Lepisosteus oculatus: one gene and its partners. The protein of the gene in region 3 purifies or fractionates together with the protein of the main gene of each other region. This does not show direct contact. Links are inferred from orthologs where the notes say so. Each region holds a gene or a part of one and is shown on either strand. Other genes may lie near its edges. The genes, in order: ppp2cb, fgfr1op2, strip1 and sike1.

Evidence for each region.
Region 1: the proteins of strip1 (region 3) and ppp2cb purify together in Homo sapiens (affinity purification with mass spectrometry; 6 studies listed by BioGRID and IntAct, counting the BioPlex papers as one, with this or other methods). This does not show direct contact. The link is inferred for Lepisosteus oculatus from reciprocal best matches to the Homo sapiens genes STRIP1 and PPP2CB.
Region 2: the proteins of strip1 (region 3) and fgfr1op2 purify together in Homo sapiens (affinity purification with mass spectrometry; 3 studies listed by BioGRID and IntAct, with this or other methods). This does not show direct contact. The link is inferred for Lepisosteus oculatus from reciprocal best matches to the Homo sapiens genes STRIP1 and FGFR1OP2.
Region 4: the proteins of strip1 (region 3) and sike1 purify together in Homo sapiens (affinity purification with mass spectrometry; 3 studies listed by BioGRID and IntAct, with this or other methods). This does not show direct contact. The link is inferred for Lepisosteus oculatus from reciprocal best matches to the Homo sapiens genes STRIP1 and SIKE1.

The regions. Positions count from the first base shown.
Region 1 is NC_090698.1:27,325,854-27,333,700, forward strand, and holds the start of ppp2cb (serine/threonine-protein phosphatase 2A catalytic subunit beta isoform), read left to right. Parts: upstream 1-4,841; 5' UTR 4,842-5,229; coding exon 5,230-5,331; intron 5,332-7,847.
Region 2 is NC_090702.1:54,195,344-54,202,166, reverse strand, and holds the start of fgfr1op2 (FGFR1 oncogene partner 2 homolog), read left to right. Parts: upstream 1-3,805; 5' UTR 3,806-3,820; coding exon 3,821-3,869; intron 3,870-4,715; coding exon 4,716-4,852; intron 4,853-5,349; coding exon 5,350-5,467; intron 5,468-6,219; coding exon 6,220-6,362; intron 6,363-6,823. UniProt on the Homo sapiens protein: May be involved in wound healing pathway.
Region 3 is NC_090700.1:37,169,620-37,177,633, forward strand, and holds the start of strip1 (striatin-interacting protein 1 homolog), read left to right. Parts: upstream 1-5,005; 5' UTR 5,006-5,045; coding exon 5,046-5,153; intron 5,154-6,936; coding exon 6,937-7,006; intron 7,007-7,303; coding exon 7,304-7,378; intron 7,379-7,736; coding exon 7,737-7,871; intron 7,872-8,014. Other genes in the region: znf76 (zinc finger protein 76), read left to right, coding at 183-296, 839-943. UniProt on the Homo sapiens protein: Plays a role in the regulation of cell morphology and cytoskeletal organization. Required in the cortical actin filament dynamics and cell shape. Part of the striatin-interacting phosphatase and kinase (STRIPAK) complexes.
Region 4 is NC_090700.1:32,285,214-32,293,060, forward strand, and holds the start of sike1 (suppressor of IKBKE 1), read left to right. Parts: upstream 1-4,832; 5' UTR 4,833-4,857; intron 4,858-7,847.

The DNA of each region.
Region 1 (7,847 bases), on a different chromosome or scaffold from region 3:
CCATTACCTGTAAAGCGCTTTGAGTGGAGTGTCCAGAAAAAAGCTTTATAAGTGTAAGCAATTATTATTATATTGGTGGTCCACTAAAAAACACAGCACAGCCAAATTTGCACTGTATCGTTTTGCACCGTACAGTTTTACACAGCCTCCTTTTCCAATATAATATGTATTAGAATGTGAGACCTACATCATGAAAACCTAAACTCTTGAAGACAATAAAGCAACCAAACAGCAAAAGATCTTAGTACTGAAATTGAATGGGTTGGTTTGTTTGGGAAATCGAGTGGTCGGTGTAAATATTTAAAGTTTTTGGACATGATGCACAACTTATTTTATAATTATGAATACTCAGTATTCATAATTCATAATTTATGTGAACATGAATTACCACATTTAAAGTGCCATACTGTGTTCAAAATCTGTGAAACAAAACAAAAACAACCCTTGCAAAAAAAGATAATCATATATTTTTCTGAGTTCAGTTCAGCAGCTTACATACAGTAAAATTAACATAATATACCGGGTGACTTTTAATTTGCAAGGAAGCCTTGTCAGCCCATATTTGAAACCTATAGATATTAGACAAGCCAACAAAGAAAAAATATTGTAACTTCTTGGGTTAATTATCTGGTGACGTAAACCAATCAAATGTCAGGTCTGAAAAGACAGCATCTACCGATAACTGTTACACTATTCAATGACCACAAGCCTCAAAGTAGTCACGTGCTTATTAATTCTTTTCTCGACAGGAAAGAGTTAAAAACAACTGTCAGTAGACAGCAGCAGCCTGTGACTCTTCCTTCGGGACACATCAAGGACAATGAGGTCATGACCTGTCCTCTGGCAATTAAGGAGATCCGAGACACATCATTACAGCTGGAGACCACTGCTCTCAGAAATGGTCATGACTCTTTACAGCTACAGCCTCATGTGCAAGCACTTAGTGAGACAATTCTGGAGACAATATATAAACTGCAGAATGGCTCTGAGCAGCAGATTAAAAAAAAAGCCAAATCTTTGGAGCCTTTTCCCCACACATTAGCCTCTGAGCAGGGTATGATGTGCGACGTAAATTGCACTCCAAAAACCAAGGTTTCATCTTCTGACTTCGTGTCTGTGGGGAGGGTGTTTGAGCAGCAGCGCACAACATGGGCACCTTGGCACAAGAATCACGGTTCATCCCTGCAGCGTACTCTGCCCTGTCCAGTTTCCCACGCACAACAGCGAGAATGCCACAGGTACCAGCAGCAGCTGAGACCAGCCTGGGGTGAGACAAAGACACAGACTTGTATATCAAACAAAAGGCACCCTGAGAGACGTCCGGGCAGTGAGGGACTTTTAAGGCCCAGCATCTTACAGAACAGCCAGCAGCAGACTCTGCATTCACAGGCACCACACTACTGGAACCAGCCCGTCTTACCCTTTTGGTCTCTGCACCAGGGAGGTGGTGCGTGGACACAGCAGCTTCACAGTGCTCCTGTGTGCTCTGGAAGGCAGGAGCTCCAACCAGCCAGTACTTACCACGCATTTGCAAGCACTACAGATCATGGATCTCAGTTTCATCATCTTCAGGCATTAAACAACTCCTGTCCGTATTACAATTGTGAACCCTTTCTCTTTTGTAATGGGTATCCATTTGGTATGAGCAATTCTCAGATACCTGCAGTGGACTCTCAGCAACTGAGGACATTTTATTCTGATCCAAATTGTTCTGCAGCAAGTCAGCCACCACCAGGTATGTTAGTACATGAGCTTCTGTGTCACTCATTATTTTTTGTTTTACTACATGTATACAGCTTGTGAAATCTACTTTATTGTGCTGAAGACCACTATCTGAAGTTAACAGATTCTTTACATCTTGAAATATATAACATAGTGGAACAAAGAGTTAATGTTTAAACAAAATATGAGATAAATTCTAAAAATGCGTAAAACATTTTTCAGGAAAAAAGTGAATTATCACCTGTCAGCTGTTTGACTGTCAGTTAAACTAACTTTACCTTTGATATTTCTGTTTTTCAGTGTACTGGAATTAGAGAGAAGCAGAGAACACAAGAACATTATGTCTGATGGTTCTATTTTTGGTTGTTTTCAAGAGTCCTTTCTGAAAACTTTAGGTCTGAAAGCTTTTATATGTTTCTTTCATATTTCTTAAAAAATATATTTTTGTATTTTTTGCAGAGTCCTGCCAAGATAATATTTTCCTTCATGCTTTCCTAGAATTTTATGCTCAATTTGTAAAGAACAAAATGTTATCCATGATTTAATCCTATACATTGTCTGAGCACTATTTGTTTCTGTACTGTTTGTCATATTAAAATGTATTTTTGACAAATTTGTCAGTATTTTTCTATAAAAGGTACAGTACTGATGTGACAGAACCCACCCTTAGATAAGGTGGACTCATTGATCTGAGCCCATGAAGATTCACAAGGATGACCCTATATGATGCTGGAGACTTTATTTCAGGGTAAACAGGAGATCTTACATTCAAAAGACTGTAAAGAGAAGCTCCCACCCACACCCCTTGCCTATTGTTAAACTCTAGCAGTCTGACCTGACTGCTTCTTAAAACGCAACTCATCACTAACACAGTGAAAGTCCCTATACCCATGTACCCAAACACATCACTGATTAACACCCATGTGAGAATGTGTCATCTACCACACTGTAAAAATAATAAAAATGAACAATTTAACCCCAGTGAAATTATTCTCGAGTAGAGGACGGTGGCTAGTGGCAGGTCAGTTGTTATTAAAGTCCCTTCAAAGACCAGCCTGCTACACTTTGCTTTTCTTTATTAATGCAAATTTTAGGTTCATTTAATATGTATCCTTGGCAGGGATATAGGGAAAGTATATATACAAAACAGGTAATGCTTTGTATTCCTATGTTTGCATATTAAATGTAATATAAATATTAAATGTATTCAAGATAATACGTTATACAATAGTGTAATGAATCTGTACAGTATTGAGCTAATAAATCTTACAAGTCATTTATGTTAACATAGTAAACCTTTTTTCGGACTGTGGAAATGTTACAAAAAGCCAACAGCATAGTTATACTGCATACAGTTACATAACATGTTAGCAGCTAAAGCTGTACTATACATGACCTATTGTCAAGTTAGACACCATAATCCAAATAGATATGCAAAGGAGAGCAGCATTGTTACAGAGCTGAAAGATGACATCCAGTGTACACACTGTAGGAGGGAGGAAGGGTGCTACTGTCTATATCAGTCCAAACACTTTAGTTCTTATATTTGAGAACGTGGACACGCTGGAGAAGACTACACTTCCCAGGAGCCTCTGGTGAGCAGCAAGCTGGGTCATCGATCACTGGGGTCATCAGTAGTGTGTCTGGAGCAGTATAAAAGAAGCTAGCTGGGCCAGACTGTTGTTTAAAGAGACTAGGCTAAAGGACTGTCCTTCAGTCCAGTCTCCTTAATCTTGGATTTCTGTTTATATCTCCAAATGTGCATGTACAGAACTATATTGACGCAGAGGAAATGTCTCAAGTCCATTAAAAGAGCACTCTTATTATTATTCCTATAGTCCCTGAGTCTCTTCAGCTAGTGCAAAGGAATGTTTCCCTGCTTTGTCTCTCATTGTTCATCTTGTAGAAGTTCAGTGGAAGGACTATGTTGGCTCTTGTGAGCAGTTAAAATACTTGAATTAGATCAGTTTGTCATCCTGTCTATGTCTAAAATGTTAATACTGCAAATAAAACTGAAATTCACGTTTGTGAAGAAGAAAAAGATGGAAGCCAAGACTTTTTGGCAGTTTAAACATTTAAACAAGAGGGTCTACAGATTAATTCAAAAATTACATCTGCTTATACATGATTAGTTGAAGAAGATACTCTAGAAAAGTTTTTATCTTTGTTTTGGGGTCCTAACAGTTAAACAGCAAGATGTGCAAGCATCAAGCAAAGTGTAATCTGAGCAGGGATTGATGAAAACAGATTATTCACTAACTCTGGCAGTGGCAAGGGATTTCATCTGGTTGCATCATGCTATTGAGTTTGATTGCTCTAAGCACAGTATCTATTTCCACACTTACTACCACCAGACACCTGCTGATCCAGAAGGCCCTCAGACCTTCAAATGCAGACTGTGCATTGCACTGTGCACCTAGATGACAAGATGTTTTGAATATTTCTGAACATGTGTGGAAGTAGAGGGCCCTCTGGTGAAACACAGAGGCACTCACAATAGTTTCAGCAGTCAAATGTCAATTGATTTTCACTGTGCCTGGGACCCTACACAATAAACTGTAGAAACACAATCCTCTGCCAAAATGAAAAATATTCTATTTAGTTCAAAATAAAGTTTTGAAATGTGGTTGTCTTTTGTTTCTCGTGGAACTTTAACAATCATTCATATATAGGAAATATACCACCCAAAACTAAAGCATAAGATACATTTTTTCTGGTAATGCAGGTACTATCAATTTGGCAGTCCCTATGAAAAAGGCATTGTGTGGCTGAAAGATCATGTTAAAAACTTGAATCATAAATAATCAATCCAATTATCATTTATTAAAACACGTGCAGAAACAGGTTTAAAACGTCTAACCAAGCAGTAGTTCATTTAAAGGAATAAATAGGCTCATGAGTAAGAGCTCTACTGGAAAAAAAAACTGTAACACAGATGCCCTCCAGGACCGGGGTTGAGAAGCACTAACCCACAGTTTATAGCCAACTAGGTCTTCTCTGACAGCGGAGGGCGCTAGAAGAATAACTGCTAACTTGCTAAAGCTATTTGCAGTTGGAGGGAAACGTCTCTTCACCGAGTGTTTTTCTTGCTTTGTGAAATCTCCGGTGTTGTGGTGGAAATGCCATTGTGATGACGTTTGGGGGAGGAGAGCGCAGAGCCGGTCGGCCATTACACAGCTGAGTTTCGCTGGGAAGGTCGGGGGGAAGAGGAGCTACTGGCAGTGAAGGAAGAGTGCGGCTCATCCCCTGCTACCCACCCGCTGGACCCAGGAACCAGAGCGCCTAAAGTCTTAGGGGACTTGAAAACGCCCGGACCAGTTTGATTTCGCCGTTTCTGAGCCGATTTCAGCTATCTGTTCCGAAAGCCGAGGTGCCCCCCTTCGCACCGCTCTGCAAAGCTCCAGCTTCAGCCTTTCAGCGACGAATTTCGATAAGAAAAAAAAGAAACGAGTCACTGCTCGAAACAACTTAGTGCTTAAAACCGCTTTGCCGTGTGTGTTTTTAAAAATGGACGATAAAGCCTTTACAAAAGAACTGGATCAATGGGTCGAGCAGCTGAACGATTGCAAGCAGCTGACTGAGAACCAAGTGAGAACGCTGTGTGAGAAGGTACGGCAATTTATGGTTTTTACCATGCATCTTGGAAGTGACTGTGTGTGTTCAAGTTTCAACTGAGGGTCAGTCTTTTTTGGTGTAATGTACCGGCATTTCGCCCCTAGCTTGTGAACGCTCGCTGTACTCGGGTAAAGTGAAGTGGGCTGCTGATGTTTGGGGCCCCAGCGACGGCGCTGCCAAATAGTGACCGATTGAACGCGAGCGGCGCGTCAGCTGCGGGCTGGGTGAGAGCTGCGAGATAGTGATCCGTGGCGCATGCGGCGTCCGCAGCCGTCAGGTGGGGAGAGCTCAGTGCGCCTGTGCGGGACGGGCTGGTGGGGCTCGTTCCAGCGCATCAGCAAAAAGGACCAGACGTGCTGCTCACAGGAGAGCTCGTTGTGGTTTGTGAGGCTTTTCTGTTCTGAAATTGCTGTGTTTATCCACTTCGTTATTGAGCGTTGTATATGCACGTTAGTGCATTTTAGTAGAGTCATGACAATTAATTTAAACCACGCGATATAAAACAAAAAAAAACTTATCTTGCTTAATTTTTTCCTAAGTGGGGTTTAAAACAAGCAATATTAACTTTGAAGAACACTCATAATATAAAGCGAGAAACAACGATGCTGTGTTTGTGGAACACAGCAATATTGTGAATGTAAAGCAACCATACATTGAAAAATGTTCTCACAGTCATGGAGTTTGTAATAAAGTACTACTTTAACCTCCGTAGGCACCATCATAATGTCTGTTTTGCTGGTGGCACGCGTAATCTCACGGGTTTCGATGCTCGCAGGTCACGGTCAGTTCAGTCTTGCAGGTTCTGCTGAATTCGGCCCTTGTGCACGAGGACGCCAGCTTTCGAGGTCCAGTTGCCCCGGGACGAGGCACCTGCTGTGTCCAGCGCACATCAGGCAGTAGCACCGTGTAAAAAGAACAAACTCGGGATTTTCTTCTAAAGCAGGGCTCCTCAACCTCCAGCCTGCTCTATTTTCCATTATTTCTACAACCAGCTTCTTAATTATTTAGCTGCGGACCAGTAGGATCAATATAGTAATTAAGGGGCGGGTTGCATGAGTTGGAGAATGATTTTGTTGCTCAAAGGGTTTTTATGACACTGTACCTTTTGATAGGGGGTCTGTCATCTGTCCTGGGGAGTCTAATACAGAAATATTAATTCTTGGACCTAAAGGGTTGCAGTTTGCCAGTTTCACAGGTTTACGTAGGGGTAATCCGCAATGGGTAAAGACTTGAAATAATACAGAGCAGCAGAGTGAACAGCAGAGTCCAGCTTGGAATGAAAACCTGAAAACAACAGCCCCCCAGGACCAGCAATGAATATCAGTGGCCTAGCATGTCCGCCAGTTTTCTAGGTCTCTTTCATTCACTGACAACTGAAGAGCTGGGCAGCGTTAAATTGGTATAGCCAGTAACAAGCTGATTTAGGTCATTTAGAAATGAGATGGAATGAAAACCTACTAAAACACCGGACCTCCAGAATCTTTATAGTCACCAAGCAGAGAGACCTGGGGTTGGGATTAAAACACCATGGACAGTTAAGAACTTCAAACACATCACTAGATGGGAGTCATGCTTTTCACTTAAGAAATGGCTTTGAAATTTGTGATTTTGTTTGTGGGTATAGGTTGTCTAGCTCTGGATCCTGGGCAGTGTGTGAAATTGTGTCGCTAAGGCAAATTAATAGGCCACTGAATTCCTTCAACGCTGTGCTGAATCAGAAACTAGAATGAATCACCTTAGCATCAGTTAAAATCAAGTTTAAATCTTGTTTTATAGGAAGGTTAGGATCTGATAACTACAAGTAAGGATTTTCATAGGCTATGTGCTAAGGTTCTAGGCCTGCTATTGTATATGTAAGTATGAAGAATACAACTGTTCCTAATTTAAGGGTAAAAGTATTTTTCTGATGGTGTTGCTGGGAGAGAAAAAATAATTGGGTTCCGGTCATGGCCAATCAGAACTGCTTTGGGAACATTAAGATGAGTCTGCTAATAATGATGGCTTTATTAAAATGCTCCAATAAAAGTTGTAACATGCCCAAGTGTGTGCCTCTGCAATGTCTCTTTACTAACTGAGTGCTGGGCTCCTCCATCTCCATTCTGAGGATTCTTCTGAGATAGCAATAGGGGCTCTGTTTCCCTCATTGCCTTTTTCCTCGCAACCAGTCTGTTTGAAACAAACCTACATGATCCCATGTTTCTTTAGCTTCTTTCTACCCCAGCTGTTGCCTGCTCGCAGAACTGTCATCCACCTGATAGAAACAGGCTTTTGAGTCTTTCAGTCTCAAACACCGACTGCTTCTGAGCCCAAAGTCAAGCCTGGTTTCCTGGGATTGTATTGTCAGCGTTTTTATCTTTGGAACAACCACAGGGATGAAAGCATCACTTCTTTTCCTACAGTTCTTTTTCAGTTAGTAGCTCCCTGTGTTTTAAAGAGAGTTTTTGGAAAGTCTTGCCCTTGCCTTCTCCCGGGTGAATAAACACCATTGCTTGAATGTCGGTCCCCTAGTT
Region 2 (6,823 bases), on a different chromosome or scaffold from region 3:
CATTACCGTGCATGTAAACGTAGTTAACGTATTGGCCTAGAATTACGTCGTTTAGTTTTCTCACCCTTTTTGTCAGTGAGCAATTCCCCAGCCCCACAGTACTACCTCTGTCTTCAGAAGGTGTTGAAAGGGTCAATGTCTTACATTACATTTTTACTATTGTTAAAAGATGAAGTTGATTATTCAGATTATTGATTATTCAGTTATAATTTAGAGATTGGGTGTGGAATTAAATAAGAATCAGGATTTAGGGACACTCAGCTACTTGATTGGGTCATGAAGGTTTTGGTCTTATTGAGGCTATTTGTGTTTTTTTTTTAATTTTCCATTTGCAAGACAAGAAATCCCCCCCCCCCAAAAAGAAAACCTCTTGTGTAACGAACAGTTCTTTCCGGACCCTATGCGGACGACACAATCCGAAGAAGTGGGGAAACACTAGGAAAACGTCATGCAGGAATACGGGGCTGAAAACAGGGGGGCGTGTCCAAAGTGCGCTGGTGCACGGGGGAGGTGTGGCCGAGGCAAACAATCCAAAAGTAATCCATAGAGGGAATCTAAAAACACAAGAATAAGTCCATAGCCAGGTGATCCATCCAAACTAGGAATTAAAACCATGAACCGGGTCGGAACCGGCGGACAGGGAACGGGACCAGACGCTTCCAGGTCCCGGACTCGCACGGTGTGGAAACCAGATGCAGAGCCAGGATGAGCGTCAGCGCCTGGCATTTAAGGTGGGCTGGGAAAAGGGATCAGGTGCACAGAATTAAATCTAAAGTGAAAGGGCTGGAGCACCCTTAAGGAGGGGGGACTATAATCGTGACATCTTGTTAAAAATCACCCAGCTTTCATAAATGCTAAAACCTTGAGCTAATAACACATCGGAAGAGAAAGGTGAGAAGCACAGGATGTGCTTGTGTTGAGCTGGGTGCTGGTCGTTTGTCACCTGTCGTGTAATCACTTCCTGCTAACCCCGGTCCGAGAAACCTCTGTGCTCTGTGCAGACTCATTAGGACCGAGAGAGATTTGTTTATACCCAGGAGACACTTCTGTACCTTATTGTACAATAAAACATTGACTGTAAAATAAAATGTACCAGTGCAAGTACAAATTCAATTTAAATGCAGCATTTTCGACTTTTTCTGCCTGACACTTGCACATGTTTAGAATTTATTTTTTACCGGTTGTTCTCTTTATTTCTATGTTATTTTTTTCTTCTGTGCAACAGTGGTGTGTGTTTCCCAGCCAGGTCATCATTGTAAGAGAGAACATGTTCTTAGCTGAATGATAATTGTATGAATTCTTAGTTGTATGACTTTAGAGTTTCTTTCACTATAAAAGGTTCTGGTTTTGATTAATGGAGTAGCTGTTTGTTTAGCTGAATATGTAGTCACTATTTAATATTGTCGTATGCTGGATTATGACGTACAACTCTGGGGATTGTATTACTTATTTTAGGTATTTTGTACAATTTCTGATTCTAAATCTTTGCTAAACAAAAGTATTTTATACAGAAACATATATTTTTTCATCAACAGAGGATACCCCACCCGTGTTATTGACAGGGTCCTCACCTGAGCGAAAAACAGCCCTCGGACCATCAACTCGATCAGGAACTCCTGGCCTAACAACAGCATTCCTTTGGTGCTTCCCTTCCTCCGTAACACACTCTCCATCCCCAGGACCGTTAACAACAACTTTCCTATCCTACAGGATGATCCCTCCACTGGGGCCCTCTTTTCTGATCGCCCCATCATCTCATATCGCCGACCACCTCATCTGTGTAACCTCCTTGTTCACAGCTCCCCTGACCGCCCTCACCAGCCATCCACACCAGGTATATTCCCCTGCAACAGAGCTGTATCACCTGCAAGTACACATCTAACACCACACTCATTCAAGGCCCCTCAGGACAATTCCAGATCACCCAGATGGCATCTTGTACCTCCAGCGACCAACTGTATCTCTTGCAGAAAATGAAGAAGTAAAGGTTTATTCCTTGCTTAAAAGAGAAGAAAAGAAACACAGTGTTTTGGCCTTCTTCAGGTGTGCTCTTTTCAGCAGGAATAAAGCTTGGCTTGTTCCTTTGCAGCCTACGCCTGCTGATGCAGCTCCCTACTTGAACTACGTATGTACAGTACAGTGTATACAATGTTAAAAATATCGTGAATAGTGTTTCAACTTCAATACTACCCAAATAAAAGGTAATTATTTTTAATTGGAGTCTATTTTGTGACTGTTATGGGAGAGAAAGGCTATGTATCAGGGATCTGAAAACTACAACAGAAAACCCTACAGATTAGTGTACAGTATAGTCAGTGAAATGTTTTAGCTTCAGACCTCACCGTGTAAGAAACTAATCAAATTAATTAAAAAATTTTGAAGGTAATATCCTCGATAACCACATTATATGTCTTTTTAAAAAAACACAGAGAGGTTTACTTTTTCTGCTCTGGTGTTACCAAGCGCAGCCCTGACAGTGTGATAAACTACAAATCCCAGACGTCTGTTTGGGTGCCGCATCCGGTGTGCGTGCGCCAATCAACCGGAAAAGCTTTACATAAACAGGAAAAAGATTCCGGACTAAGAGGCGCTGGAGTTCTCAGGTAAGGTTTGAAATTGTGTTATATGTAAAAATAGAAAAGTTAATAGGCCTAATATATAGTTGATTAATGTAGGCATTTATGTTTGAATGTGTACATTTATAAAATTAATTAGGAAGTGCTGTATATTCGGTGCAGCAGTCAGTGATACACTTAATTTAAACTAGATTACGTATTAATCACTTTAGAAATAAAGAAGTTCGCGTCATGAGTATTGCACTTCAGAGTAAACCATTGTGAAAATTAAAATATTTTAATTCAACATAGGCTTTTATGTATCATAATGAACATAGTGCAACAGGGATGACCGTCGACACATTCGTTGTTTTTCTTAACACTGCCAAAAACTTCTGAGGATGTCGAATCGGTTCTCTGGTCTGGATTTTCAGGATTTATAAAACAGTCGGCAGTTGCGTGTCCTTTGGGGGAAAAAATGAATGAATGCTGCCCCCTGTGATAGTGATCGGACAAAATCATTGGACAGAACCGTCGGTTAAGTGTCAGAATAAGGGAAACTTCTTGTTTGCTCATTGGTAGGAGCTGTAGATCAGGCTGTATGTTTGTCTTATTCCAGGATTCAGGGGGTTGGGTTCGACTTATCGATTCCCGGAATACTGTACGCGTTCTGTGTTTCTTTAAATCCCAAACTCTGCCCCACTGATAGTTTAGATATGCTTTAATGGTCCTTAAGAGACTTATAAAAACCGTAGTGGATTATGGTACCGAAGGATGAGAATCTCTCTGCGATCTAGCATTGGAGAAACAACGTGCCTTCTATTAGGACGTGTGTTCTTACTTGTCAGTCCCCACAATTTAATATTAAATAATCCAGGTGGGGCTGCACATTGGTGGTGGATGAGGGGAGTCCCCATTACCTGTAAAGAGCTTTGAGTTGAGTGTCCTGAAAAGCGCTATATAAGTGTAAGCAATTATTATTATTATTAGCGCGTAAGAGTTAATGTTTACTTTAAAGTAAAACCAAGAATGTCTCAACATTACAGTTGATCATTCGGAGATTCTCCTGTGGTCCCCGTGACTGGAGTAGCCTACATGTAGCCCATCAAAGCTGCTGTTGCTGTTCTTGAGCAGCTCTAGCAGATGCCTTGTTCTGTGAATTGAAACATGTGTTTGTGAAGCACAGGCTTTGTAATAGCTCTGGAAACCTAATTCTCCAACGGCAATGTTTTGAAAATTGTACATCTACAGAGACCTTTCTAATAATGGAACAGAAAAAGGATTCACAACACCACAGCCTTCTCATGAAAAAAGGTGAGGCTGTCTACTCAATTCAGATTAGGCCGATAAAGTCTGTTAATAATTAATAATAATAATAATAATAATTGCTTACACTTATATAGCGCTTTTTTGGACACTTCACTCAAAGCGCTTTACAGGTAATGGGGACTCCCCTCCACCACCACCAGTGTGCAGCATCCATCTGGATGATGCAACGGCAGCCATAGTGCGCCAGAACGCTCACCACACATCAGCTATTAGTGGGGAAGAGAGCAGAGTAATGAAGCCAATTGATAGATGGGGATTATTAGGAGGCCATGATTGGTAAGGGCCAATGGGAAATTTGGCCAGGACGCCGGGGTTACACCCCTACTGTTTTCGAGAAACGCCCTGGGATTTTTAATGACCACAGAGAGTCAGGACCTCGGTTTTACGTCTCATCCGAAGGACAGCGCCTGTTTACAGCACAGTGTCCCCGTCACTATACTGGGGCATTAGGACCCACATGGACTGCAAGGTGAGTGCCCCCTGCTGGCCCCACTAACACCTCTTCCAGCAGCAACCTTAGTTTTTCCCAGGAGGTCTCCCATCCAGGTACTGATCAGTTCTTTCTGTGATCACCCTGATTCCAGTTGATTGGTATTGCAGGTGAAGCTGGGGGGTCTGATTCTCTTAGGGTAGTGTATATACATTCTTTCTCATCTTATTTTGCTATGCTATGAATTCTTTCAGAGCGGCGTTGTGATTTCCTCCTTCTTACAGTGGAATCATACGTTCGGAGCATGCCCCCTCTGATCGCTGGGATGCTCTTCACTCGACCTGCTGTGGGGTGTATTCTCTTCACGGTTGTCAAATGGCTATTGTCCCCATGTTTTGCAGAAATGAGCTGTACGATAGACAGAGTTCTGGCTGACGCTAAAGCCCTTGTGGACAGGCTGAGAGACCATGACAGTGCTGCCGAGGTGCTGATTGAGCAGACAACCTCCCTAAACAAGCGAGTTGAAGCAATGAAACAGGTAACGCTGCCTTTCGGCAAACAGCTGTATGCATTTTGTGTCAGAAGTCGGGAAGCAACAGTGAATCACTGAAGAACAAGGGGGTGGATTTCTGTTCTCAGACCACTGTCTGAAGTTAAGGAGCTTTGTGCTTGTGAAATGCATGCCAAAGAAATAGATGAGAGATTTCGATCACTTGGTTGCAACAACACAAGGTGCCTACTAGTGCAAAAGAGCAACCACAAGTGAGAATAGGCCATTTAGCCCAACTAGCGCACCTGACAGTTAGTAGTGAATTGACCTCAAGATCTCATCCAGCTGTTTCTAGAAAAAAAACAGAGTATCAGCTTCAACAACGTGGCTGGGTGGCTTGTTTCAGACTCCCACTACCCTTTGGCAAAGACAGATCTCCTGTTCTCTGCTTTAAATACATTTCCACGTCTCGGTGCACGAAAGCGTATTCATGTTGATGAAATCTGAAGAGGGCTTTTTGAGATGCACCTTTGATTTGCCCTCAGTACCAGGAGGAGATCCAAGAGCTGAACGAGGTGGCAAGACACCGGCCTCGGTCGACCCTGGTCATGGGCATTCAACAGGAGAACCGCCAGATCAGAGACCTGCAGCAGGAGAACAAAGGTGAGACTCGCGTGCCACGAGACGAAACACATCAGCAGAATAATCATTCGTATCTTAGAGAACCACACCTTTTCATCTCTTTTCTTTCCTCTCCATTTGAATGTGTGGCTGCAGTCAGCACCATTCAGACCCGAGTGAAGGCTGATTCCACGCTGCTCAGCAGAAAGAAAGAGCACAAGGCTTCAGCTGCTGAGCGTTTCGGACACTTTCTCACCTGCCGTTGTTCTCCTGTGCTTTATAGCCCTACGTCCTCCCTCTTTCTCCCTCACACCTGAAGAAGGCTCAATAGCCAAAAAACTTTCTTCTTTTTTACTTGTTTCTTTGCAGCTACACAAACCCTTTCAATTGTTCAGATGTGTTAAGTTCTTCAATTTTGTGTAGTTTAAGATGAAGTGAAATCCCATTATTTTTTCCACCTGTCCATTCCTTAAAAATGTCCATTTACTCCTATGATAGAAGTCCTCAGTTCACAAAAATGATCTTCCAGTGAAAGTAAAGGCGTTGTCTTGGGTCACACCTCTTGTTAATATTAGCAAGAAAACAACAGTAGTTGGCAAAGAGTTGGGAAGATTAAGCATTGTCTGAAAGATGTATTGTAAATTGCGATTGTACCTTTAGCAGATTCCTTTTACTGAGTTACTCAAAGTAGTCAGCTTAGTGATTATTTCCTCCCCCTGGCCTACATCAGAAGAACTGAACAGTAAGTGTGTACATTGTAAAAGACTGCTTGTCGTGTCTGCTCTTTTTCACAGAACTGCGCACTTCTTTGGAGGAGCACCAGTCAGCTCTTGAGCTCATCATGAGCAAATACAGGGAGCAGGTCTTCAGGTTGTTAATGGCCAGCAAAAAAGACGACCCTGTCATAATCACAAAGCTGAAAGAGCAGCATTCCAACGTGAGTATCAGATTCACTGTTAGATTTAAAGGACTTTTAACTTTGTGCGGGCTTCTTAAACCTTCTTCTTAAACCATATGTTAGGCATTACCCTTGGCATTCACTTTTACTGATGGCTTTTTTACTGGAATAATCAAGTACCTGACCACCGTGCTGCCCCGGATGCCTGCAGTCAAACACTGTATAGAAAATGATCCTTAAACCCGCTGGCACCTGGAGTGCTTAAAGGTTGTTTTTGTGACTTGGTAACATCCATTGAGACCGATGGGGGTTTTGGATGTAGTATATACTGTATGATGTCATGCTGGATGACATTCATGTACGTAGCTGTGGTGCTTTCTTCAGGTGTCACTGGAAAAATACATTGTATTCTATTGTATGTACACTGGATTAATAATCCCCTTGCAATTACTCCATTTTATTCTCTGCTCTCTTTCTGCACAGGTGTGTTTTAGTGCTGC
Region 3 (8,014 bases):
ATTGTATGCTTGCCGGGATTGGCTCCTACTCCCCTACCACCCTCGATTGGATGAAGTGGTTAAAAAATTGATGAATAGAAAACTATATTGATTGTTCTAGAAGGTGATTTGAGTTATTTGAAATCCAGAAGATGTCACTTTATTTGCATTTAAACTTTTTCCCCCTCACCTCACTCTTTCAGGTTGCAATAGTAACATCAGATGGCATGATAACTGGAACCTCTGAGCTGTCTGCCCCTCATTACCAGCAGGTGGCGCTGTTGGCCACAGCAAATGGCACACAGATTGCTGTGCAGGTCAGTCAAATTCAGCAAGGCAGTATCAAACCCTGCTTACACAAACAGCGCATCCCTCACTCTTTTCTTTATGTGAATCGAAGTAAATGTTGATTATTTATTTGTCTCCATGCAAAATGTCCTCTTTATTTTACTGTTGATTCCAAAATTGTATATAGAAATCTACAAACTTATTGTATCTGTGTTGAACCCTCCCAAATGGAAAAGGCCAGTGGCCTTTTCCTGCGGTGGCATGGTGTTCGAGCTGAGGGATAATCTTTACAGACTCCAACTCCCCCAGCCCTGGCAGTGATCAGCCACACGTGCCACTCTGCTTGGGGAATCCTGGTCACAGTCCAGTTAATGACACAGGTCAGAGCTAAACTGGTGATGTCAGGGCAACCTGTGGTCGGCGTGCACCTCCAGTATAAAGGTGGAGCCATTCTGGAGCTAAGCCTTTTTACCTTTTGTTTTGTGAGCATTGGGAAAAAACACAAAACTCTCTTTAAGCCTTCCCCTGACTTTCCAATGAATCCATGACGTTGTCTTGTGTGTCTGCCCAGCTGGAGGAGCAGCAGACCCTGGAGGAAGCCATCAGCTTGGCTACAGCTGCGATTCAGCAGGGGAGCGTGGTTCAGGACGAGGTGATAGCGCAGGGGGGCTGCTGAGGAGCAGAGACGGCGCACCGCACAGTTGCCCCGCAGCGGGGAGCAGCTCAGAGACTGAACAGGCCAGCCCCAGCCCGACCAAAGTGCAGAGACGGGAACAGGAGCCAACTCCCCATTGTCTCTTGCCAGCTTTAACACACAACTTCATCTTGGCAGGAATTCATGGCTCAAGTGTGGAGGTTTGAGAGGGTGGCGGAAGGGTCATGTGCTGTTCATCCGGAAAACGAAACAGCCCTTGACAATCTCCAGTTGAGCAATACAGAAAGCAGGAGAAAACTGTGGACATTTTTCCCTGTATTAAAAGTAAATAATAAAAACTCAGAACTGTAAGTGTCAGAAAAGGTCTGGTATAATAGTTTTATGTCTGACTTCAAACATCACCTTATCAAACAAGAGAATTGACTGTCTTATTTTTTTAAGTCTACTAACCTAATACATTTTAGAAGACTTGGTTTAATAATTAAACTTGTTTTATACATGTTTTATAGACTTACCAGGTTACTGGCAGGGTTACTTTTAGGCATAGGCAACAGGGGAGGCTTGGAGAAGCAATTGAGAAGTTAAGAGAAGCTAATTGCTTCACTGCAATTATAAAGTGACCAGAAGTAGTCAAGACCTCAGTTTAACAGCTCATCAGTAGGTTGGCACCCCTACGCCCCGGTGTCCCTGGTCTCTACACTTGGACGTTTTCATACAAAGAGAAGAGTGCTACCTACTGGTCCACAAACTGTTATGAACATAACCTTTCACCTGGCTACTTCTCATCATTGTGTGTGCTGCAAGATGTTTTAATTTAGAATAGAATGTTGTTATCTTTAATATCTCTTATCTTTGGCTGCTGGATCTGAGATTAATGTTAAGGTGTGGAATGTGGGAAATTAATACAGTTGAGACATTCCCCTTCAAGTGTTGTAACGTCACTAGGGTGACTCATCTCCAACAAACATGAAAGAGCTGAGCCTATGGCAGCAGCTTTTTGTGGAGATCTTGTGCCTCGACAAGGATTTCTGTTTCTTTTGTCTTCCTTGTCCCTTTAAAGTTGGGTTAGAAGGAAGACTGCAGTTTTCTGCTTAGGCTGGAATGACAAGAATGTTTTAGTTTCCATTTAATGTGTCATTTCACCTTTTCCTATTCTTTTACTCCAATGTTCAGATCATCATTTTGCTTGGGCCAAATGCAATCAATATTGGTGGAGGTGTGACATTATGCTGTTCCTGGAAATGTGTGTCATAGAGTGATCTGGTGGTTTCACTGCATTCACTGTACCTTTATCTGCGCTGGCAGAGTAAAAATGTTACTTGAGAGAAAGAGTGTGACAAACTATAATACTGCACGTATTGCGATCTGGGTTTCAGAGAGGAGCCAGGGGTTTTGCTAGGCATGTTCTTTCAAACTTTTATTAAATTTGGCAACCTGATCTTCACAGTGTACATGCTTCAGTATTTGTCAATCTCCCTTCAGATTCTCAAAGTACTAAGTACTAAAGAAAAATATTTTGGATGCATCGTTTTCAAATTCTGTCTCAAGTAGAATCTGAGAGCATGGAAGGTGTATAGTTTTCCTTTAAGTAATCTTGTCCTTTTTATAATGTCAGTGTTTTACAGATAGTGATAATTCCTTGCATTTCTGTGATGCTTTTGAGATCTTGGCAGTCCTTAAATAATTGAATAATTGGTGTACTTAATGAAAGCTCAGTCGTTGCCTTGCTATGGTATAACGAAGGGTCTTTACACCATTATTTCCTGGTGTTTTTCACACTAAAACCCCTCCACCGTCCCTAGAATGACCACCAATGCATTTTTATTATATGGGGTGGGGGTCCTCCCCGAAACCAAACAAGTTGAACATTAACACATGCTCCTCTCTTATCACAGTTGTATTATATAGGTTTGTCTACAGCTTCTGGGTACAGAATAAGAGCTCAGGAAAAGGACAGAGCTGCTTTGTTTTACCATTGCGTATCTTTTATTTTGTTCCAGGCCTGTTCTGGCACTACAGTGTTGCCTTGCAAGGCGTTTTGTATTTTGCACCAGTGCAAAGTTCAGACAACTGGAATATAACTTCTGAGGTTAAATCGTAAGTAAATGCAATACAGATCTTCCCAGCTGCACTGAATCTAAAATTGTAATGTTCTTGTCACTTTTGCGGTGGAGCAAAAGCTCACTTTATGAGGCCCTTTGTGAGACTGGGCCCTTCTTATGTGTGATGACATCTCTTTTTCATTGTTATTTTCCATCAATAAAAGGAATTTGGTTAATAATGTTTGGAGTGTGTCGTGTGTTAACCTTTGGAATGTTATTATCAGGAGTGCCAGGCTGTTCACTGTTTGTAGGGAGTTTGTATAAGGGAAAGGGTGGAACGGCGGCTGTTTATTGCTGATGTCTCACAGCTCTTGAGTCCTGGGTTTGATTCAATACTTGGGCACCTTCTGATTGGAGTTTGCATGTTTTCCCAGTGTTTGTAGAGGATTTAGTGTAGTAGTACTTAAAACACATGCTGGTTAGGTTAGAGTCAGTAAAATGTGGAAATGTGTGTGCCCTGCGATGGACAGATGTCCAAATGTTTTACCATACAGTATAGATGGGCTGAATCTCCTGTCCAGGGGATCCAACCTGCCTTGCATCCTACGATAGGCAGCCTGAATTAGGTTGTAGGCTGTGTCTGAAAATTTCTTTTTTTCTGGGTGGGGTTTGGGAGAGATGCTCTGAGACTTTGGCATCTTAAGACATGCAGGTTATGCATAGTGGCTCGCCTCCAAATTGTACCTTACCTCAAAGGGTAGTAGAGGCATTTTCTCAAGTGATTCAGCCTGTGTCGGATCAGTAGTTCTGCTACAAACAGCGTTCTTGTGCGCACAGCACTGCCAGGAATGGAAATAGGAAAATAACAGCTTAGCTATGTTGTTTTTTGGTATTTTTTTAGTTCCCTCCTTGGTGAGGGAAAGTTGGTGGGTATGTTATTCCATCTTCCTAGCCTCTCTGTATCCCTGTTCTTTTACTCCAATGTTCCTCCCATCCCCAAATCCCACCATTTAACCCCAGGGAAGGGCGATACTGGTCCCATAGCCCTGGCGTGTCAGCAGTTTTAATTCCAGCACAGCTCTGAATATCTAAAACAGGCTTGGGACCAATGTAACAACTCCATCCAGCTCTCGAGGTGCTGTTGCTTTGGAGAGATGGAGAAAGCCTGCATGCATATCCTACTTCCAGGTTTAGGATTTTACCCACTGCTGATTAATTCTCTTATATGGGCCAAACACAGGCAAAAGCCACCAGGCAAAAGCCACCAGAAACAGTCATCCCAGGAACACGTCATTGCTCTTATTTAGAGTCACTGTCTGCTCCTCAGGCTGGGACAGGAAATTGCATACTCTATACTGCAGCTCTATTGTGTTTCCTCCCCCTGGCCTAGGAGAATTGATAGCTGCTGTGCTTCTGGCAGGTGTGGGATTAGATGTTTATTCCTGGAGTGTGTATTGCAGTGAGAAAGGAATAGAACTTCCACAAACCAATCGTATGGCAGATCTGCTTTGAACCTGCAGGGGACCTTATTCAGAATACTCTATGGCAAAGGTAAAGTCAACCCAATTGGTTAGCTGTGAAAACTGGGCCATGAGACACAAGCTAATGAGAAGTGCATATTTCTGACTTAGAACAGGAGAAATAAAACCTCAGGTCCTTCGTCAGGTAGTCGGCATCAATTACATAGCAGCCAAATAGAAATAGCCCCATTGGTATGTGAGCTTCCTTATGTTCTTGTTTGAGATTTTTGAATATTACCATATTGAGTTACTAAAGTTAAAGTTTTATCATGCACCTGTAAGTCAGGAGTGCTTATTGCAAATGATTGCCTAAAAAGAAGGACCGCCAGCACGAATATCCCCTCTTTTTTAGGGGACCAGTCCGTATTTCACAGCGTCTCCATTAACACCTTAAAACAGCAGAACACAGCTGGTTCCGTGCTCATCCGCATTCCTCAGCCGAAATCTCGTGATGTTTCGTTGTCTTGTAGGCTTCTGCCTGTTGTGTGAGCAAGTAGACTCTCGCGAGATATGTGGCTGCCGGTGGAAGGGGGGCTGGATGGGTGTAGCAGGGAAGCAAAGATGGACGTCGGAGTTGGCGGAGCGTTGGTTGTCAACAATAAACAGCGAGCGATGTTACCCAACAAAGGCAGGGGCGAATTCATCCGAAATCAGAGAAAGGACTCGGAGGTAAGGGAGGGGGTGTTGGTGCGATGCGATTTGTTTTTGAAAACAAGCTATCTTAACGTTCTTGGCTTAAGAAGAACATACACAGGATACAGCCTTGGTTGCGCTTAGTACATACAGCAGAAATACTCGCGTGAACCTTAAAAAAAGACCCAATAGCTTCGTGTGCATTTTATATATTGAACTGATCTTCTGTCGTTATTGTGTGAATGGGGAACGCGGGGAAGAGAAAGCGGAGAAGCGACGTTATTAATGCAACACGTAGCAACTAATGGAAAGAAGTTCGTCTCCTGCTGTACCACTTGGTGGTATTCGCCCTTGAAATATTTCCATTCTAGGCATTATTTTATACTGTTAATGTATCCCTAAATTAATAGGCGTTGTGATTTTAAAAAGCACAGACTGAAACGCAGTGTATATCATGGGGATTTTGGCAAAAAAAAATCCACATCCCCGGTTTCATTCTAGCCGGTGAGGAAGGATGGGAACTGGCGTTGTCATGGGAACCCGGTGCTGTCGCGGTGGTTGGAGGGGGATTTCAAGGCCAGATCGCGTACCACAGTAAAATGAGGACAGATGGGATATAATGTTCCCTTAATCTGGCAAGACATCCCCCCACCTTGGCCAAAGAGGTGCTGCCAATATTATGACACTTTCGTCTAAAATGACGAAATGCATAGGACCAATCTAAAACGTCCGGGAGCTAGTAATGGACTCGTTAAACACGGTCTGTACAACTACTACAATAAAATGGTGTTAAATCATAATCTTAAGTAAATGCAGAGTGGCATGGAGGTTAGTGAGGCACTAGGGTATCTTCCATGTGGAGCATGCACAGTCTTACTTTGGCGTGTGGGATTTCTATAGGCATTGACCACTATCTTTTCATTTTTTGCTCCAGGCTTATTGATTTCAGATTTCTTACTGGGACATGTTTAAAATTTGTTGTTACCACATTGACTGAGGTTTGTAATTGGTAATCAACCTGAACCTTGTACTTGTTTTGGTGCTCCTCCTCATCGATGTGTGTATCCCCTTAAATATAATCCTGTTGGCTTCTACAGAAGGAAATACAAATTTGATGCATTGCCAGATTATTCTGAATTAGTCTTTTGAGGGGTACATTTTTAGTATCCGGCATTCTCCCATACACTAAACCCCTCATCAATTTTCTTGGATTGATCACTGATATCTAAAATTCTGGGTAACAAAACCACAGCCTCAGTCTGTTCACTAGTTATATTAAGATCAGAACTACACGCCTGTATGCTTAGAGTAATGTGGGTGGCAAGGTTCGATTCTAGCTATGGGTGCCTGTCTGTCTGGAGATTTCATGTGCCCCTGTGTTTGTGTGAGTTTTCACCAGGTGCCATTATTTCTTCCAGCTTCCTAACTGAATGCGGGTTAGGTTTAGTTTAGGATTAGGAGGCTTTAAATTGACTCTTTCCAGATGAAGAGTTTCAGGAGGATTTGCCTTGGAGGAGGTTTGTTCCCAGTACTGGCTTTGTGATTACAGTGAAACAGAAGTCAATGGGCTGGATGGACTTAACAGTAAAATAACTGGCTTCTGAGAAAATTGGCCCTGGTGTGAGTGTGTGCATGTTTATGCCTGTGACTGTGGGGCTCTGTGATGGACAGCTGTCCTACATTATCTGTGATTGGATAAAGTAGTTAGAAAATAGAAGCATGAAGTTTGGGGCCACTGACTTGTACACACAACATGTTGTTGCTTGGCTACAAAAGCAATCCTGAACAGTCAGACAGAAGTTGTGTTCATGTTTTCCAGGGTTTTTCTGAATCTCCTGATCTAGAGTTTGAATATGCTGATACAGACAGATGGGCTGCAGAGCTTTCAGGTGGGTTGGATATTTAATATATTATCTTCTGGGTGCTTAAAAATATAGAAGCTTAATTTCACAAATATTCCTAAAGAATATTTTTATTGCCTTTGTACAAAATTGGAGCAGTCATGTTTTAAATTGCAGTATTTTATTTTTTTCTTCTGTTGTTCTGTAGCTAAGACTACTATTTCCTTATGATTGTTATACTGGACAGTGATCTTGTTTGTCACGAGTCAGTTTTCACTAGATTGCACTGTGCCCTGTCTTGTTTTCAAAACCAATATTGGTGTCTTTTGTTGGTTTGTTTTCTAGAGCTGTATAGTTACACAGAGGGACCAGAGTTTCTGCTCAACAAGAAGTGCTTTATTGAAGATTTCAGGACACATGGTACTTTTGGTTTAAAACAAGGAGAACATCTGTTGAGTGGTTAATGTACAGCACCACAGGCTCTGCTTGATTACTGTTTTCATGCAATTTATATTTCTGTATACACCGTGTCTAATATTATTTTGCATTTATTGTATATCATTTCTGTAATATCACTGTCTAATACTCATTTTTTATAGATACAGCACGGGTTTTAAATATAGCATTTTAATATACAGTAGGAGTGAAACATTGTATCAGAATCCAACACAGGTTCACAGGTTCCCATCCAATCAATGTTCACAGATGCAGTGATAAACATGGCTTTGAGCTCGAAGTCCTTCAGGCTGGTCATCAGTTCTATGCTTTGCCTTCTCAGTGACAGATAAGAAATGGACAGAACTGGACGCCACTCAGCACAGGGCCCATGCGATGCGGCTCCTGGATGGGCTGGAAGTGACGGCCAGGGAGAAGAGGCTCAAAGTAGCCAGAGCTATTCTGTACATGGCTCAGGGTAAGTCAGCAAATAGCTCAGGAGTAGCAGCTTGTGGCACTGTCTGCCTCATTAAGGACTGTCCTGTGACTGCTATGGTGTGATACAATTGGGAAAGAGTCTGTATTGCACAAGCTAAAGGGCATTTTCTTTACATTGAGTTG
Region 4 (7,847 bases), about 4.9 Mb from region 3:
AATCTGCCCTCAGTCAGGCACTGTCAACAGGGCCCTTGTTTGCCCCCTGCCTTCTGACTGGGCGGCTCAGGAGCCGCCGTGTTTGCTGTACAAGCAGGAAGTGGGCTCAGGAGATAAAACCGCCCGTGTTTCTGAGAGAGTGGTGACACAGGCACGACAAAGTCCAGGGCTGATGCAAGAGGTTCACAAAACTGTTGGAAGGCTCACTGGGGGCTTCATCTTTCATTAACTCTTTGACACCTTCCCTTTCAGAACTGAAATGTATCCTTGGTACCGTATGTTCCCAATCAGATCGAAAGACTCTAGAAATACCCATTTTCAGCTCAGGAATATTTAATAATACACAAATATATTATAAAAATAAATCAATGAATAGATTCAATATATAAATATCTTGGGTGGCATGGTGGCACAGTGGTTAGCCTTGCTGCCTTGGGGCGCTGGGGCCCTGGCTTCAATTCAGGACCTGACATCCTCTCTGTGTGGGGTTGGTATGTTCTCCCCATCTTCACATGGGTTTCCTCTGGGTGCTCCGGTTTCCTCCCACCAAAAGCGTACTGATAGGTTAGCTGGCTTCTAGGAAAATTGGCCTAAGGTGTGAATGTGCCTGTGTGTGTGCCCTGTGATGGACTGATGTCCCGTCCAGGGTGTATCCTGTCTTGAGTCCTTTGCTTGCCAGGGTAGGCTCGTTGTGACCCTGAATTGGAAGAATTGGATATAAAATGGATAGATGTCTGGATATACATATACAAAGAAGATTGAAAGATACAAGATCAGTCTAAACAATCGCTTGCGAGCTCAGAAAAGGAAGCTGTGGAAAGTGAGACCAGCTTGGAAACACAAAATCTGGGGCACTTTTAAGTGAAAGTTTGTGGCTGCCTGAAACAAACTACCCAACAACACTGTGGAAGATGATTCACTGGGAGTCTTTAAGAAAAGGCTATTGAAATTGTGAAACAATTACTTTAAGAATGCAAGAAAGGTTGTAAAGGAGAGGCAGCTATTCATTCCAATAGCGCATTAGGTGCTAGTAGTTAATTGATCTCAGCCAACCACTTCTTCACAGAGGTTTAGGGTATCAGCTTTATCACATTATTGGGATAACTCGTTCCAGGCTCCCACAGCCCTAGGTGTAAATGAAATCCCTCCAGTTCTCAGTCTTCAATGCACTTTCCTGTACTTAAGCCACTTGTTAGAAACCAAATGAGCAAGTTGAACTGAATTGTCATTCCTCTTTTTGGTAAAGTTTCAGAAGACTGCCGACGTGAACTAACAACTGGTACTGAAAATGTTTTAAAGATACACAGCAATGGAAAAGGTCTTTTCCTCAGCAGGGAAGGTGTGAAGTATCAGATATAAACAATTTTAAGAGCTACTAATATCGTCTTCTTTGTAGTTAAATTTAAACAAATAAGCACATAATAAGCATTAGTGAACCACTGGGATCAAACAGCCAAATCACTAAAATGATTTGTAGATGTTATTATTTGTTTTCCACAGTTTTTTCCCAGTGTGTCAAAGTCAAAGTTTATGGCTTATGGCTGTGTTTTTCAAAAAACAACATTACTTAAGTGTTTCCTGTTTGCTTTCCTTTTTAATCATTTTGCAGTCTGCACAACAGACTGACCAAGATCTGCACCTCTGTAAATCAGCTAGTGACCTACACAAAGACACCCCATGAAGTGTTTCAGTACCATTGAATCCAGACTTATACAAGTACCATTGTGGACTACAGCGGCACAAATGAAGAGCTGTTTATTTTACGGATATTTTATTAGGCTCCAGGAAGGTTTTTCTGTTTTATTTATAAATAACAGAAGCTAATGAAAGTTCAATGAATTGCAGCTTATGACACAGCACAAACTTTGAGTGTACATAGAAAAACAGTGATCTTGCTATTATAAGTAGTAGTTTTAATATATAAAACAGTAGAAACATTTGCATAAGTCGCAACAGAGTGCTAGAATCAGCTGTAGTATTAGGAGTGTAAGTATAATATTAGTGGCGGTAGCATTTAAAGGAATATTTTATTCACTTTAGGACAGTGCCACATGTATCTGACACCAAAATAAACTGATATATCACCTTCTAAACTACTTGGTGATCATCCCTACAGCACATTTTAATTTGTTAACTTCAGCAGGTGTGACAGAGTTGTCCTTGTCTGGGAAAGGTCCTCTGTCTGGTACTATGTTATTGGCTACCACTGTGAGTAATAGGGTGGTCTGTCCGTACTAAGTACTGCTACATTACAGGAACATAAAATATGTTGACAGTCACTGAAAACGCATGAGTACTATCCTGTATATTTAAAGTAGTATAGCTAAAAAAACACTTTCACAGACATCACAATGTTTGTAGCTGGGGTGTTTTTTGTAAATACGACTTATTTGTGTATACCCTGACCTGATCTGTCCTGAGTATGTGATATTTTTGGAATAACTGAAAGGCGGGGATAACCTTATCAGTATCAGTCATTGTGCCATGTGTGGAAATATTAAGTTCTAATGCATATGCAATGGTTGCTTGTACACACTCAGTCATGACAATAACAGAGAGTGACTGGAGCTGTACTCAGGCTATAAAACGTCCTGCAAAACCGCTTGGATTCAGAGCACTACAGGGGCAGAGGTGAGGGATACACCTTGTGTGTCTTCTTGGGTGTTCTCCGGTAATTGCCTTTTTTGTAACAAATTAAAACTTGTTTCAAACCTTCACTGGGCTATGTTTTCACTTCTGGCATCTTCTAAATTGGTCCTTAGCAAAGTCAACAAATTTTGGTTATTTAGAGCCATACATACATTTCTGTACACTGCAGAATATCCATTCGTAAGGTAATACAAAACTCCTCTCCTGAGATTCAGTGCGAATCAATGACCGCAGGTCAGAGAAACTCTCAATCTTCTCAGCATTGCTGTGTAACCTATATAGAGACACTCTCTGAATTGGAAGCTGTGAAAACAATAAAGGTGTTTCCAAGTCAGAACCTCAGTAATGTAACCTGGCTCAGACTTCCATTCCGTTTCTTGTTTTATGTGCAAGACTGCTATCCTATCATAAAAGCTAGTATTATTTATTTCTGACCTGCTCAGGAAAACAGCAACAGGAGTTGAAAATTCCATTTGTTAAGACATGAAGAAAGCCCTGATACATCTATCAATAGTCCCATACCCTCAGAATGTTTTCATGTGCTAAATTATTTAATACTTTAACACTTATTAAAGTGTTTTTAGAAATGTTAACAGCTGGTTTGTGAATAATTTATCTGGTGTCATTAATAACACCTAAAATGTAACGGAAACATTTTCAGAAACGTGATTTGGTAATGTGAGAAAGAATCCCTGTCAACGTTCCAGTTATTTTTTATATTAAATATCTTAAATGGCTATTTCTGTGAGTTAATCAGGACAAATTTAAAGGTAAAAGGCTGAACAGAAGATCTTCTCCAACATCACTACAATTTCTTCTGTAATTGTTCTTCTCATTGTAATTTCTGACAATCAGAAATAGTCAAAACATGCATTTTAAAATCTACCTGATCATTTCTAAAGAAAACGTTTGCTCCTGTGTTTTTTTTCGGGGGGGGGGAGCTGTATAAACAAACTTTTCTGCAAGTGACCTAAACTTTTGTCTGACAACAGCAAGTGTGCCTTCAGGCAAAGCAGGGGCTGAAACATTAAATCATTGACAGTATCATCCCTCCATGTCGGCAGAAGGGAACAGTGAGGGCAGAAGTGTGTCTGTAGTCTGCCAAGAAAAGGAAACTCTTTCTGTATTTTTCTGTCCTCACTGGGAAATTCCTATCTCGGTTCACACTGGAAGTTTGTGGTTTTAGTGTCTATAGTTTTTTGATTCAGTGCCGTCCAGTTCTATCTCCTACAAATAACTTCAATAATTGTGGTTTTGAAATTTGCTAAAGAAGACATAATATGTTGTTGTTTTCCTGCTTCCAACAGTCTTCCCTCTCTGACCTTTGACACGCTCCATGGATTACCCTGTATCCTTTAAAACATTGGCAGATAAGTTGAAATCAGGACTATTCAACACAGTAAATTTGTTGCAAAACAATTAAAGGGTTTGAGGGGATCTGTTTCTGTGCATTCTGCTCTTAAAGCAGATAATTTGATTATATTACTAGCCACCTTACAGATGTTTTTGCTTTGAAAATTGCTCCAGTTTTTTCCAAAGCAAAATAAAAATACAAGTACAGACAATTCTTCAACCAACACTGCATTTAGGCGATATTTTTGAAACACCTTTCAGACATCCGAACTCTTCTATAGTCACAGGAAACCTCGTCAGATCTGTGCCTTTAAATATTTTTACAGTGACTTCCAGAAAATGGGGAGAAGTGATTTGATCTGGTTTAAAAGACCCCCTGCTGTGCTGTTGTATTAATTTTTAAATTAGAAAACAGCTTCATTTCCAAAATGCTTTGCACTTCACTCGCTTGTCTCCCGTGTCTGTCTTCTTTGATTATCCTTCATAAGAATACGCCGTTATGCTGTGTGGACATGCCAAATGTGTTTTAACATCTGCCATCATGCACTCGGAGCATTTCTGGAGTTATTTTTAAGAGTTTTACTCACTGCCACGCTCACTCGTAAAGGTTGCTGTCTGGCCACTCTCTGCTTCCTCGCTTCCCCCAGTTCTTCTTCTGTGGGACACTCTGTCTCTCTTGTGCGCTGTCTCTGCACTCAGCCACTGAGGCTCCAGACTGAGCACTGCTCTCTCTCCTCTCTCCCAAACACTCCCCCCACCCCCCACACAGCAGCACGGCACTGAAGAGGGGGGGTGCTCGGAGAGAACCCACTCTCCTCTGGACAGTGCCTGGGTACAGGAGCAAGTCTTTTTGAGGTAAGGGAGGGGGATACCAGTATTGATATTAAACACTTAGATTGAATGGTTTAATTATGTCACCAATGGGCTTAAGGGCTGAGGGGGGATTCATTTCTGTAGATTTAGGACAGAGGGGGGATTCCGTTAATTATTGTTGAACAACCATGTTATTGACTTCCTGATAACTATTGTTACATTTCTCCAGTAGAAAGAAAAAAGAAAGAAATATCCTCATTCTCTTCCTCAATTTGAACATGGTAGAAGGAAGATTTTGTTGCTGTATTGTTATGAGACAATGATATTTACAATAGATTCCAAAGTTTGTATGTATATATATTATTGTCATTTTCAGTTTAAGTGTTTTTGTCTCAAATGAATTGTTGTGATAGACTTGGAATTGATCCTGTAATGACTGCAATATCTATAGTATACCTAGTAAGTTGTGCATTTTACCTAAGTTTGTATCAACCCAGAGGCAAAAGATCTACTTTAAGTTGAGAGAAGGGGCAACTTCATGTTCCACACCAGGGAAAACATTTTCCTGTAATGTGTATTTCTTAATCCATTTAATTTGCATATAATAAATACATTTAGATCACCTTCTATCACAATTTCAATGTTAAAGGGGAACTGCTTTGTACATCATATTTCGGGGTTAGAAAAAATCAGTATTGATGAGTGCATTTCAAGCTGCAGTAAAAGTAAAATGTAAGCAGTAACTTGTAAAACCTCCAATTTACATCACAAAATTTGCCAGCAGCTACATCACCCCGCAACTAACAAATGTCAGCCCACTGAAGCTTAGCAGGTGTGAACCTGGCCAGTACCTGGATGGGAGACCAAGGTTGCAGTTGGAAGTGGTGTTAGTAGTGTTAGTGGAGCCAGTAGGGGGTGCTTACCCTGGGGTGTGGGTCCTAATGCCCCAGTTATAGTGATGAGGACACTATACTAGAAAAAGGCACCATGTTTTGGATGAGACGTAAAACGGAGGTCCTGACTCTCTGTGGTCATTAAAAATCCCAGACTTTTTCTTAAAAAGAGTAAGGGTGTACACTGGTATCCTGGCCAAATTTGTATCACGTCACAATTCTTGGGAACTCGAATGCAAGTTTGCAACAACGTGGTGACTTACAGTACTTTCAAAGAGTTCACAATTTTGTGCTTAATTTAACATTTGTAAAAAATTTTCTATAACGTAAGTGAATTTATTCTGTTACCAAGATTTAATAACCGGTCTGAGAAATTGGGACAGCAGTTCCCTTTTAATTTAGCTGTTCTCAGAATTGTAATGTTTCTAAAGCATATTCACAAGAGGCAAATTACCAATGATGGATAATAAGACAGCTATGGCACAAAATGTCAGTTGATGACTATAAACTGATGTGCAGTTTGTTGATTCTGGGTGATCAGAGCACACAGATTAACACAACAATAACACATAGCACGGGCATGAAGTTGCACAATGAAAAATTGTTGAATTATCAAGAAACACTTTATTTCTTCTCTACACTCATTTTATATCTTGAAGGCATTTAATTAGTACTGATGCACAATGAACATGGAACGGTTTTACTTCAGTATCTCATTGGAAACAAACATAAAGTTATTTACATTTTAAAAAGTGAGTACATAAGTTGTTTGAATAGTTCTTGGAGGGCAAAATATTGGAATCAAGCTATGTGATTTTATAAAAAAACAGGTGCTCAGTTTGCAATTTGGATCAAAATGAATTTAAGAATCTGTGTAAATGACTATTGTAAAAGGCAAGATTGTGATTAATGCTGCAACAGTGTAAGAGTCAACCATTTCCCACCTGAGACCTGAAGACCACGTGGTTGGTTTCAGTGTAACTGAAGGTGGCCTGACTGTGAGAGAAATGTTCCACTTCAACAATCAGTAGACTAGTCCAGAGAATCCAGAAAATTGGCTCTGTGAGGGACTGAATCACCTGTGAGGCAAAGGAATCACCGTACAGGCCCAGAACAATCTGACCCACCTGTTTGTTTTCAGACTGCAGTGGCTACAGTGTGAGGAATTCCAAAAACAATAGCCTGCTCATCTGCATAATAACTGGATCACCATGTTCTTGATGATCTGCATGCTAGCTGGTGACATCTAAGCTGGTTGTAGAATGGGAGAGATTAATTTGATTTTTCTCTTGATGGTCCTGACAGGAGACAACCTGGGTAAAGTTGTCATGGTTAGTATTATGGTAATTGTTGCACTGTTCTAGCCAGGCTGTGTAGTGGTAGAACTGTGATTATCTAGGGAGACATCTCCTTTAACTCAAGAACAGCTCTGAAGCAGATTGAGGGTTCTCTTACAGCTCAGAGAGCAGTTTCACTGACAAAGGCCATGAGCCAACAGCTTCTCCATTCCTGCAAGACACTCCAGAAGGGTCCATTTCCAGCAGGACAATGCGAGACCATGCAGTACTAGGATTACAATGACATGACTTCCAGAAAACAATGTTGCGGACTTGCAGAGGTCTTGCAGTAACCCGCTATTTCTCCTCATCTGAGTCCAATAGAACATCTGAGGGACCAAGTTGGCATTGCCATGAACAACAGACAACCTTCCCCAGCTGGCTGCATGCTGCACAGGAAAAGTGCTGAAACTTCCCACAGTATTAAAAACTTTTCATTGATTCATCTCGTGGTACTGTAGATCAACACAAGCATTTTACCAAGACTTTCTTTTAAGCTTTTTTTCCCCTTTGTTCTAATTTTCCCTTTCCCTTTCTCTAAAAACAAAACAAAATTAATGAAGTCCTTCAGAGCTCATCTCAACCAAAGACCAAGAGAAGTGGGGTTCACACATAAATGAACTTGCAGTACAGCAGTGACAGCTTTCGCACAAAGGATTTTCAAACAACATTTGTCATTCAAAACAGTTCAACAATATATTAAAAGAAGCTTTTGAGGTTTTACAGAAAAAAATATTATCAAAAATGCTTGATCGGATTACTTTATCAACTACTTCATTAAAAAGAATTCATAATAGAAATT